Linked DNA regions of Caenorhabditis elegans. The protein of the gene in region 1 interacts with the protein of each later gene in a pairwise test. Each region holds a gene or a part of one and is shown in the gene's direction. Other genes may lie near its edges.

What was found.
Region 2: the proteins of cpf-2 (region 1) and ubql-1 interact in a two-hybrid assay, tested with the Caenorhabditis elegans proteins (one large-scale study listed by BioGRID).

The regions. Positions count from the first base shown.
Region 1 is NC_003281.10:13,266,261-13,270,630, reverse strand, and holds cpf-2 (RRM domain-containing protein), read left to right. Parts: upstream 1-1,747; 5' UTR 1,748-1,755; coding exon 1,756-1,819; intron 1,820-1,870; coding exon 1,871-1,926; intron 1,927-1,977; coding exon 1,978-2,099; intron 2,100-2,145; coding exon 2,146-2,290; intron 2,291-2,993; coding exon 2,994-3,617; 3' UTR 3,618-3,699; downstream 3,700-4,370. Other genes in the region: F56A8.5 (F-box domain-containing protein), read right to left, coding at 3,746-3,902, 3,952-4,370.
Region 2 is NC_003279.8:7,020,198-7,028,016, forward strand, and holds the start of ubql-1 (Ubiquilin), read left to right. Parts: upstream 1-1,784; coding exon 1,785-1,877; intron 1,878-1,999; coding exon 2,000-2,105; intron 2,106-2,150; coding exon 2,151-2,458; intron 2,459-2,566; coding exon 2,567-2,695; intron 2,696-3,259; coding exon 3,260-3,503; intron 3,504-3,829; coding exon 3,830-3,969; intron 3,970-4,014; coding exon 4,015-4,098; intron 4,099-4,144; coding exon 4,145-4,257; intron 4,258-4,304; coding exon 4,305-4,370; intron 4,371-4,414; coding exon 4,415-4,475; coding exon of another isoform or gene 4,476-4,496; exon of another isoform or gene 4,497-4,526; intron 4,527-7,819. Other genes in the region: pdi-3 (Protein disulfide-isomerase), read right to left, coding at 360-590. UniProt on the Caenorhabditis elegans protein: May play a role in the ER-associated protein degradation pathway (ERAD) possibly via its interaction with ER-localized proteins ubxn-4 and cdc-48.1 and/or cdc48.2, providing a link between the polyubiquitinated ERAD substrates and the proteasome.

The DNA.
Region 1 (4,370 bases):
CGCGTGGGAAAGTTGGGTACTCAACTCGGACAGTTACATTTAGTTTTACAACCAAAACCGAGCCGCGGCGCGACACGCAACGCACCGTAAATCTACCCCAGATATGGCCGAGCCAAAATGGCCTAGTTTGGCAAACTCTTCCATTTCAATTTATGAGGAAAGCCAGAAATCCGTGTGTCTTTTTAAAGGCGCACGGATTTTTTTAGATGGGTCTCGGAGCACAAACAAAAATTTATGGTAGTATTTTTTTTAATTTGAAAACTGAGTTAAAACTATTTTAATAGAATTTTTAAAAGAAAAATAAACAAGGACGGAGCCGCAAAAATTCAAAAAAACGAGAAACTTTTAACTATAAACTTTTCTACGCGCGCCGAGACCCATCTGAATAAGTCCGTGCACCTTTAAGAAGGCCTATCAAATTCTAGTGAAACTACTATATTACGGGAACACAAAATTCTGAGAATGCGTATTGCACAACATATTTGACGCGCAAAATATAACTATATCTCGTGAGCGAATTCTTTAAATGATTACTGTGGCGCTGGTGTCGATTTACGGGCTCGATCGATAGTTCGTAATATTTTGTCATTGTTATGTTTTCTTCTAATATTTTATCGATTAATAAGTGATTTCCGTAAATCGACACAAGGACTACAGTAGTCATTTAAAAATTACTGTAGTTTTCGCTTCGAGATATTTTGCGCGTCAAATATGGTGCGCAATACGCATTTTCAGAATTTTCCTTGCATTTTTGGAAGATTTGTTACGGTCTCCAAAACTCGAAGCTGGAAATTTCTTTAAAATTACTGCTTTGCGCCCAATAAGTTTAGTTTGGCAGTGGAGCGCTATTGAATTTCCATTTCGAAAAGAGCACTATTTTCAGTGTGTCGTCAAATCGAAGATCTCGAAGCGATTTATTGAAAATTCAACGGCTGGTCTAAAAAAGGGTTGGAAAACATGTGGAAGAATTATTTGATAAATTTTTTTAAATAGAAAATGTTTCGTTTCAATTAGTTCCAAATACTCCCAAAATAGAAAACTACCAAACATCAGGCATCAGGTATAACTAGTTTATGCGGTGTTTCGAAGTGGAAAAACTAGGCAAAAAATATTTTCAAACTAAAAAAATTATTTGAATTTTGTCATTTCAACTAAATAAAACAAAATAAAATATATACTCTGCATCTCTCGGGAACACTAACACCCCACGTCAACGCTGTTCCCATCAATCAAAATGCGCGAAATTGGCTCATAAATCAAACGGCGAAAAACTAAAAAAAAAAAAAACTGAAAATATTGGCGGAAATGTGAAAAATATAGTCGGAGAGACAAGCTGTTATTCATGAGAAGACATTTTTTTTCGAATTTTAAAGTTTTTCGTAAGAAAAATGAGTAGTACCCGATTTTTAAGAATGTGTAATAATAAAAATTATGCAGAAGATATCATTTTTTGACGAAATACGAAATCTTTGTCAATCAATATGTGTGTCAAACAAGAATCAATGTCAATTTCCGTCTTTTTCCGCGGAAATCGGTCATTTTCGGAGGGTCACTTTGCTTGTGCTGTGACGTCACAAAAAATGTGGGTGGAGCTAGAGGCAACGAATATGCAATGCGGGCGCGCAGTTTTCGCAAGTGTGCGGCACGCGATTTATTTTCGAATAGTTTTTTCTCTGTGCAGTTTCCAACTCCTTAAATGCTTTTATCGATTTATCGACGATTTAATTTATTCATTTTCAATTTCCAGGTTGAAAAATGATGTCCGGGGGATACAAATCATCCGGAGTGGGCAATGATCGATCTCAACGTTCAGTTTTCGGTAGGAAACTGTGAATTTTCGAAAAAAAAACGTAATTTTCGCATTTTTCAGTTGGAAACATTAGCTACGATGTATCCGAAGACACGATTCGCTCCATTTTTTCAAAGGTAATTATTATTTTATTCTTTCCAATTAAAATACTGAAAAAAAGTTTTCAGGCAGGAAATGTGTTGTCGATCAAAATGGTTCACGATCGGGAGACCGGAAAGCCAAAGGGATACGGATTTATTGAATTTCCAGACATTCAAACCGCCGAAGTTGCAATTCGAAACCTTAATGGGTATTAAATATTTGAAAAATAAATTATTTATTCAATAAATGTTCAGTTACGAGCTGAGTGGACGTATTTTGCGAGTCGACAGTGCTGCTGGTGGAATGAATATGGAAGAATTCGGCTCATCGAGTAATGCTCCAGCTCCTGTCGAAGAGAATCCGTATGGTCCAGAGTGTGATGCTGGAAAAGCACCGGAGGTAGCTAAAAATGAGCGAAATTGGCCTGAAATGTCTAAAAAATAACTGAAATTGGCCTGAAATGTCCAAAAATGACTGAAATTGGCCTGAAATGTCTAAAAATGACGAAAATTGGCCAGAAATGTTCAGGAATGACTGAAATTGGCCTGAAAATGACAGAAATTTCCCTGAAATATCCAAAAATGGCCAAAATTCGCCTGAAATGTCCAAAAATGACCGGAATTGGCCTGAAATGTCCAAAATTGACCGAAATTGGCCTGAAATGTTCAACAATGACTGAAATCGGCTCGAAAATGACTGCAATTGGCCTGAAAATGCCCAAAAATGCCCAAAAATGAATGAAAATGACCGAAATTCGCCAGAAATTTCCAAAATGACCTACACTGGTCATTTTTTGTAATTTTCGTACTTTTTTAAAACAATTTTTGGTTCTCTTCGACCAAATTTTAATCATTTTTATTATTTTTTGGCAAACTTCGCTCTTGTTTAGTCATTTTTAAGCTTATTTAGTCATTCTGAACGTATAGTCTCAAAATGAGCTCAATTGTAAGAATTTCGTAATGAATTGTCTCAAATTAAGCTTAAAAATGATGAAAAATAGTCGTATTTGCACAAAAATGAATAGAAAATGCTCAAAAATGACGAAATAGGGCCTAAATATGCATTATCGAGCTCATTTTCTTTCTCAAATCACAAATTTTAGAGAATCTCCCAAACAGTCGCCTCCCTGGCTCCGGAGAAAATGTTCGAACTAATGAAGCAACTGCAAGAATCGCTGAAGAACAATCCATCGGAACTACACAAATTCCTGGTCGAGCATCCACAAATCGCCTACGCGGTGCTCCAAGCCGCCGTTGTCATGCGAATCGTTGATCCACAGACTGCACTTGGACTCCTTCATCGTAATAAGGCCGCCACGCTGACACCATTCCATAATACACCTCAAGGAGCACCGCCAATGGTTCAGCAACAACAGATGCCGATGCCACCGAAGCCAACATTTGCTCATCCTGGCCCATCTATGGGTCCTCCGATGGGACCACCTATGGGTCCACCTATGGGACATCCGCAAGCTCCTCAATACGGTCAAAATTACGGGCAACCAGTGGCTCCACAGCAGTACAAGCCACCGCCACAGCAGCAGCCACCAGTTCAGATGAGACCTCCAGTTCAGCAGCCACAACAAAATCATCAAGAAGAGCAGCAAAATGCGGAGCTTCTGATGCAAGTCATGCAGCTCAGCGAGCACGATCTTCAGATGCTTCCTGCTGGGGATCGTGAGAAGATAATAGAGCTGAGACAGCAGTTGAAGAGAAATGTCAAGTAAATATGGATCTCGTCTCTCGAGTATTTGTGCTTTTAATTCTAATTTTTCCGTTTTGTAACTATCGATTTCATGAAGATCACATTTTTAAATTCAACATTTGGTTTATTGCAACAAAATTAAATGAAAATTCAATCTTCTTCCATCGGCTCTTGGTCGGAGAATCTTTTATGCCAAACCACCATCTCAACCTCGTTATCGTTAATGATCACAGAAGCGAGAAGACCATCGGCTCGTTCAAAATCCATCGCTTTCTCGCAGTTTAATGATTGGAATGGTTCTTCTTTTCTGAAACAGAATTTAATTTGCAACTTTCAGGAAACTTTTGAAAACTTACGGGAAAATTTTCTGCCGTTGTTCGTGGTTCCATGGTTTCACATCGAGACCTTCCAGAATTTGCCCTGGAACTCTTCCATCAATCTCTTTCGAATGAACAATCAAATTTTCCAATTTCGCATTTGATCCTCGGGTCCAATCTCTGAGAATAGTATTCACGTCTTGAACAGTGAAGTTTAAGCAATAAAGAGAAACACGATTTGCCTCCAATGCTCGAAAATGCTCCGCTCTGAACCATGAACAGCCACTGAGTTCAAGGTGTTCCAGATCTTTGAAGTTTTCCAAATTTCCATTCATCGTAGAGATTAGGTTCATCGAAATGCCCTCACATTGTTGTATAGCCGACCAATCGAAAAGATCAGCAGATCCTTCGAAATCAGGTCCCCAGATATGAACATTTGAAATCGGAAATCTTATCAA
Region 2 (7,819 bases), on another chromosome or scaffold:
CGCGACTGGTGTTTTTGCTCTTATCGTTAATTGATGTCCGTATTCTGTAGAGTAAAGACCTGACAACAAACAGTGATTTGATGCGTGGGAAAATGTAAATGTCGAGCCGATCTCATTGTCAATGGCCTTTTGAATACACAATAACCATTTTGGACCAGCATACATAATATATATGACGGACAAATGTTTCTATATGCATAAGGACTAGAACAATAAATTCAAAGAATCCTTTGTATGCATTTCATATATTTCTATTCAATGTGGCTTTCGTTGCTGTTTTATCAGCTTTCGCGTATTTGTCAGTGTCACTGCGATCGATATATGAGCGATGGCTGTGTAAATAAGTATGGTTATCTTACCTTGACGAGAGCGACTGGTGGATCGTTAGATGCGAGTTTTGGGGCAGCTCTCTCATACTCTGGGGCAATTTTCTTGCAGTGTCCGCACCAGGGAGCGTAGAACTTGACAAGAGCAATGTCGTGGGTTTGGATGAGATCATCGAAGTTTCCGTCGGTATACTCGAGAACGGCTCCTCCAGCACTGGCGAACGCCAGGAAGGAGGCGACCAAAGCTGCCTGGACCCAAATCATTACCTAAAAACTTTACCTATAAACGACAATCGATCGAGTGAGTTTAGAGGGCGAGAGATTATCGGGAACACCGACAAAAAGTTAAAAACTAAGAAACAAGATTAGAGGTTTTCAGATTATTCAGAAATATTTTCTAGAAATTGAGCGAACGATTGAAGAGAAGGGAAGGTGTTTTCGCAATTAACAAACCGCGATCGCATCGAAAACGTGAGCCGCTTGACGCGAAACGTGTTTTCGTGGCGAGATACCGCGAGCGGTAAAATCAATGCGCCTTTACTTTATTTATTTTTTTTTCGCATTTATTTTCATTCTTTTCTGTGAATCACATGTGAATGGACAAATACAGATTGTTTCGGGTTCAATTTTAAGTATTTACAAACACTTTTCAAAAATTATCTTTAATAAGTGGAAAATACAGTTAGTAAATAACTATAAATTTTAAGCTTAGAAGAAGAAAGCCAAAAAACATGTGTTGTATGGAGGAGAAATTTTATATAGACTCGGGGAGCGTTATATCACTTTTAATGATATTATTACTAATAATCCAGAAAATGCAGAGCAGAAGCATAAAAATAGACCCGAATTGTTAAGGTCCACGTGGCGCTCGTGTGTACACCAGGGATTGGTAGGAACTGAGCCAAAAACACGTCGTTCACTGCCTGTCGCACGCGTGTTGTGTGCCGATTGGCCTCATTCTTGTGAGAACTCCGCCCAATGGGTCTCGCACGGAAGAGGCGACCATCATGTGTCGATTTACGCAACTACCGCATCATTTTATTGATCATTGTTTTTTATTCATTTTATGACCTGATATAGAAGGAATCGACGTTAAATTGGAAGGCAAATTGATTGGAGCGCCATTTAGAACTTTAATTTCTTATTTTTATTGTAAATTTGAATCGATAAAAGGAACAAAAAGATCACCATGGAAACCAAATTAGTCATCACGTGCATATTGAAGCTCGCGCGTCAGGAAGAATTGTGTCTTCGTTTATCTTCGTTTATTTTCTATCGAAGAGACCCATTACATTATTACATTATTCGGTCTGAAATAGTTGCGAAATTTCTTTTTGCGCTTCGAGAATATTCTCGATTTATCGATGCAACGTGTTCTTTTCCGTCTCCGCCTCTCATTCTCTCAATCCTTTTTCTTTATTTAATTTTGTCGGTTTTTTAATATTTCTCAAATTTAAGATGGCTACAGAGAGTGCACTCATCAAAGTTCACGTGAAATCACCGTCGAACAAGTATGACGTTGAGATTGCTGCGGATGCATCAGTTTCAGAAGTATGTTATATTTTATTTAAAAAATAAAATTTTGCTCTTGAGAATTAGATAAAAATTCAAGTGATTATTCCATTTTGATAAATTAAATGTGTAAATCACAGTGTTTAATTAATATTTTACAGCTAAAAGACAAGGTTCTTGTGTTCGTTCCAACTGCGAACAAAGAACAAGTTTGTATAATTTACACCGGAAAAATTCTGAAGGATGAAGAAACTCTCACACAGCACAGTAAGTTGAAAAATGTGTTCCAAAAAATAATAAACAAAAATTTAGAAATCGCTGATGGTCACACCGTCCACTTGGTTATTAGAAATCAAGCCCGTCCAACACCAGCGCCGGCTGCTGCAACACCAACAGCTTCATCTGCACCAAGTTCCAATCCAACACCTTCTTCACAACCGAATCCTACCAATAATCCATTTGCAGCAATGGGAGGAATGGGATCACCTGCTGATATTTTAAACAATCCAGATGCTATGCGTTCAGTTATGGATAATCCAATTACACAACAACTTCTAGGAAATCCAGAGTTTATGAGAACAATTATTCAATCCAACCCACAATTCCAAGCATTGATTGAGGTTCGAGTTTTTCCTGGATATTTGTTTTGTAAATTTTCGGATTCGAAAAATTATTTAATTTTTTAATCTTCCACATTTCTCTCGTATATCGACAATAAATATTTTCAGAGAAATCCAGAAGTTGGACACATTCTCAACGATCCGAATGTAATGCGTCAAACTATGGAGATGATTCGTAATCCAAATATGTTCCAAGAAATGATGCGGAATCATGATCAAGCTATTAGGAATCTTCAGGTACATTATATATAGCTATGCTGATCAAGGGATGCCATTTTTCAATTTTTCAATGTTTTCAGCGAAAATCGAAACATCGAAGAAAAAAAGTCCAGAAAATTATCAATAAAATTTGATTTTTATCAAGTTGTGTGACACACAACTTGTGTCATATATGTTGGTGACAAAAAACATACGAAGACATTTTAATGTTATCTAACAATTGTCTAAAAAAAAGAAAAATTACCAAAATTTAATACCATTTTTTAAAAATTGAAAAAGTCGGTTTTTTCTCTCTAAAATCGAAAAACGAAAAATTCTGATTTTTCAGTTTTAGTTTTAAAAAATCGATCAAGGATGCCGATCTAAATGTCTAAATATGACTATTAAAAGTAATTAATTGTTATTTTAATTGATATGGCAAAAAATTGCTAATTTTTTTTTAATATCAGGGGTACATTTCTGGAAACTATATATTCCATCCCAGCCGCGCTACAGGGGTTTTTGTCTTGAATTCCAATTTCAACAGATTTTCCTTTTTTTCGGTTGGATTTGTTATTTTATGTTGAAACATTCAATTTTCAGGGAATTCCCGGAGGAGAAGCTGCTCTTGAACGGTTGTACAATGATGTACAGGAGCCCTTGCTCAATAGTGCAACAAATTCGCTCAGTGGAAATCCATTTGCTTCTCTAAGAGGTGATCAGAGCAGTGAGCCACGTGTCGATCGTGCTGGACAAGAAAATAATGAAGCTCTGCCAAATCCATGGGCTTCAAACGCCAATCAAGCTACCAATAATCAATCGAATAATCGTTCTGCTGACTTTAATTGTAAGTTTTTCTGAGTCAAATTTCTCTAAGTAAAAAAAAATCTTACATTAAAATCATATAATAATCAATGACGAGTGGCAAATGCCAAATATCAATTTGCCGAAAAAATTAAAAAATTGTAAATGTGAAAAAAGATTTTCAGCAATGTATTTTTGAACATTTTCCTTAAAAAATTTCCAACAAAAATTTCAAAACGACAAATTTCCAATTCGCCCAATTTTACGTCTGCCGCCCACCATTTATTATAATTTTAAACAAAATATTTAAACGTCACGAATATCCTCATAGTTTAGTGATCCGTTAATAATGTTTTAATTCATATTCAGCATTGCTTGATTCACCTGGCATCAGCTCCCTAATGGAGCAGATGATGTCCAATCCAAGTATGCAGGCCAGTATGTTCAGCCCAGAAGTCATCAATTCAATTCGTCAAAATATGTCAAACAATCCTGGACTCATTGATTCCGTTAGTTTCATTTTTAAAAAATTTAAAATAATTATGTAAGTTCAGATTGTTGGACAAATTCCATCGGCTCGTGATAACCCACAGATTTCCGAAGGAATTCGTAGAAGTTTTCCACAAATGCTCAACATGGTTTATTTTCTAAATTTTTACAAAAATTTATATTTCAAAATTTCAGATGTCTGATCCATCTGTGATGGAGGCAATGAGAAACCCACGGGTCAGTGAAGCATTCCGTCAAATTCAAGAGGGATTTTCAACTCTTCGCAGAGAAGCACCTCAACTTTTGAAGTATTTGAAAATACCATTTAGTCAAAAACTATTTAAAATTATTTTAGCCTTTTCCAAGCTGGAGCAATGGGAGGTGGAGCATTCGGTTCTGATGCCAATGCATCTTCTGCTGGGTTCGTTGATAGTTTTTATAGCTGATAGTTTTTTCTCATTTCAGAGCAAACTCTGCAAACGGACTTGCCGATTTATTCAATTCAATGAATATGGGAGGAGGAAGAGTGAGTATATTGAATATTTGATTTCTTATGTCACTTCTTATGGGAGCAGAGGTGATTATTTTCAAGTTCGGCCTTCTCGAATTGTCTAGAAAAAAAAATATTCAGAGTGAAATAACGAGATAATAAGATTTTATGAACTGAAAAAGAGAAAATTTCTATTTAAAAAGCTAAAAAAAAAGCATTACTACTGTAGAAATCAGTTTTTCTTATTTTTTATTCATTGCAAAATTTGAAAACTCGACAATAGCCTATTTTTGGATTGTGAATTTATCGAAGTGGTAAAATTTTTTTAATCGGCAATTGCCAAAACTTTCTATTGTCTGTATGATAGTTATTGAAACATCATGGGTTCAAAGAACTTTTTCAGCTAATTGAACTATTTTAAGCTTTCCTTTCTAATTCAATCGACAGATCGATTTAGAATAATATCACCGAATCCAATAATTTCCCATAGTATAGTTTTTTTTATACTTCCCTCTCGATTCCGTGGTCTTTTGAATTTTCCAAATTGAAATGAAAATTTGGATGATTAGTTGAAGCCTCACATCAAATGAAGTTCCCCCTTCATTTCATATATCAAAGTTTTTGCTCAAATTTAGAAGCTGATGAGTTGCGCCGAGTCGCCGTTTGCTCTGTGACAGCGACGGAAGTGCGCGAGCAAGAAAGAAGAAGTCATCGTGTGTCTGTTCTGAATAATGTAACAAGACGATGCTCCGTCTTCTGCTTCTTCTGTGCCGTCGTCGCTGAGCAGAAGCAAAAGTCGGCTCGTTTGACATGCTATGGATAAATGTTAGATAATGAGTATAAAGTGACGAAGACGATGGCAAACTGATGACAGCGTGCACGATCGAAAATCTTTTCCTGTTTGCTCAGAAAATGCAATTATCATATCGAATTTCATTTAGACCCCGGTGGCGTATCTAAAATTGTTTCGAAATTCTGATGTCTCGGCCCTTTCTACAGACAGAATATACTCTTAGAAAAGAGAAGTGTGGGAGATTTATCATGAGTTCCCCCAGTGAAAGAGGAAGGCCCCTCATTTCCTTGTCTTTTAATTTTTGATGATTGTTAGACGAAACAATTTGAATTGGAAACAAAAGCAATAATTTCTGCATTTTTCGTTTTCATCACTTGACATAGGAAGTGTGAAAGGCGGGCATCTTATCCATACGAATAGATCAGATTTTTTAATTTTCGTCGACGTTGCACTACTGGACCGAATGCTCTCGCATCACACAACACATTGTTGGCACATACATGTTATATGTCATTTTACATTTTCGATTAATTTTGTTCAATACCAAAACGTGGATGAGTGTGTGTATGTATGTGCATTGCCCACATAAAATGATATTAGTAGGCGCACATAAAAACGTTGATCGACAAAGGCTCGTCTCTTCACATAAATATTACACATTTCACAGCAAAAAAAACTATGTTCAATAATCAGATCTTTTTTGGGATGAGAGGGCAACACAAAAGCTGAAAGGAAACTTTCTTATCACAGAACCTTCAATTTTAGTAGATGTGATCTTCACTACATTAGGGGTTATTTGTACGCACAATGCCAAATTTTCGGAAAGTTGAGCTTTTTGTAAAGTTTAGAGCATTATTCCATGTTCGACACCCTAAAATGTTTTAATACAAAAAATTAAATTATAATACTTGAATAATTGCCTATTTTCGGTCGAATTCCAAAATTAAAATAGGTGGTATCTAGGTAGTTGCCAATTTCGACTGCAAATTAGGAAACTTGATTTTTCGAGAAGTTTTACTACGATATCTGATCTATATTTCTTTTTTCTTCGGCCCCTTTAATAAGCAAATCAGTGTTGCTCTTTTTGCTTCCCGCAATTGTTAGGAGCACATGTTTTGTGGCATATTTAGGATGCGCGACGACGTATTTGCACACACACACACACACACATTCCACGGATCGGATGTCACTATAATCTCATCTTGTAAGCGGTTACGCTGCTATCAAATTTATCCCGTATGTTTCAAGCAATTGGCCACAACATTTGTTCTCCCCCTTTTTGTTATAACTGCTGCTGCAGCTTTTGTCTCATTAGATGATTGTTTTGACGACATTTGCATAGATCATAGTAAACGATGTGTCTCCAGGAATATTGTGTAATGGAATAGTGCGCGAGGTTGGTGCGCATGATGAGAGCAGATAGGAAAAAGGACGGCGACGTTCCCCTTTTATTCATTCAACAATTGTCTAATCGGCGATTGTGTGGAACACGCGCCGTGCCATACACGTATTTCATTTCATAAAGAGGCAGCTGGCGAACATCTTCCGGTCTTCTCGTTTCCCGCCTTTTTTGTTAAGATGAGCCGATGCAAATGATATTCGAAGTGATTAGTAGTGGAGTCTATTAGGAGCCGACGTCCGAAACGATGGGATGATCTGTTCAGTGGCAAAACACTTAGTGTCTTTTGAATAGGCATTCGATTGGTTTTCTTGTTCTTACAATAGACAGATGGCTGGTTGCATGGGAAACAGTTCTTTCGAACACCTGTATCAAACCTGTGATATAGTTATTTTATAGTAGAACATCGCTTCTCTTGCTCAGATCATATTGAAACCTTGATTTTTGCATTAAGGATAAACAATAAATTCAAATATCTAAAATTGTTTCTCCTTTAAAGTAGTTCCCTTAAAATTACGATAGCTAAATCCGAAACATAGTCCAATCATTTCTTCTCATTAATTAGTATGTTGATGGAATTGTAGGGACATGTGTAGAGAGTGGAGGACACGTTGTATCACTTAATGCATGTTGTCGAACTCGTCAAAGTATGGTGTAATGCATAAATCGAATGAACGGAAAGATGCGGTAGTGCTGGTCACAATAGGAAGAAGAACAAGAGGGGTCCCATGCAAAAACACATATGACGCGTCGATTCGTCCAACTGCTCCTCTTCCTGTCTCTGTTATTATTGAGAACAACACACTCATAGATATAAATGCACAGATACTCGTTGTTCGCGCACTCATTTGTTTCGAAACATGACAAGCAAAATGCGTTTTTAGAAGATAAACATCGTAGCACTGACTCGTAATATGTAATGAACAATTAAGAAGCAGCTCTACGCATGCTATGTGCATTTCCCTCATGTTTTCAAAATTGCCTATTCTCAGAGGAAATGTTAATTTGTGTCTGTGTGGGTATGTATGTGCATCATTTCAATCAAGTGCTCCGCTCTCCTATAGACCATATTTTTTGTTTCTTGGGAATAGATTTTGGAATGATTGCCTTCCAAATACAAAGATGGATGGATTTGGAATTGAGCCTCTAGCACAACAATAATTGAGTTTTCAAAGTTTTCATGTGACC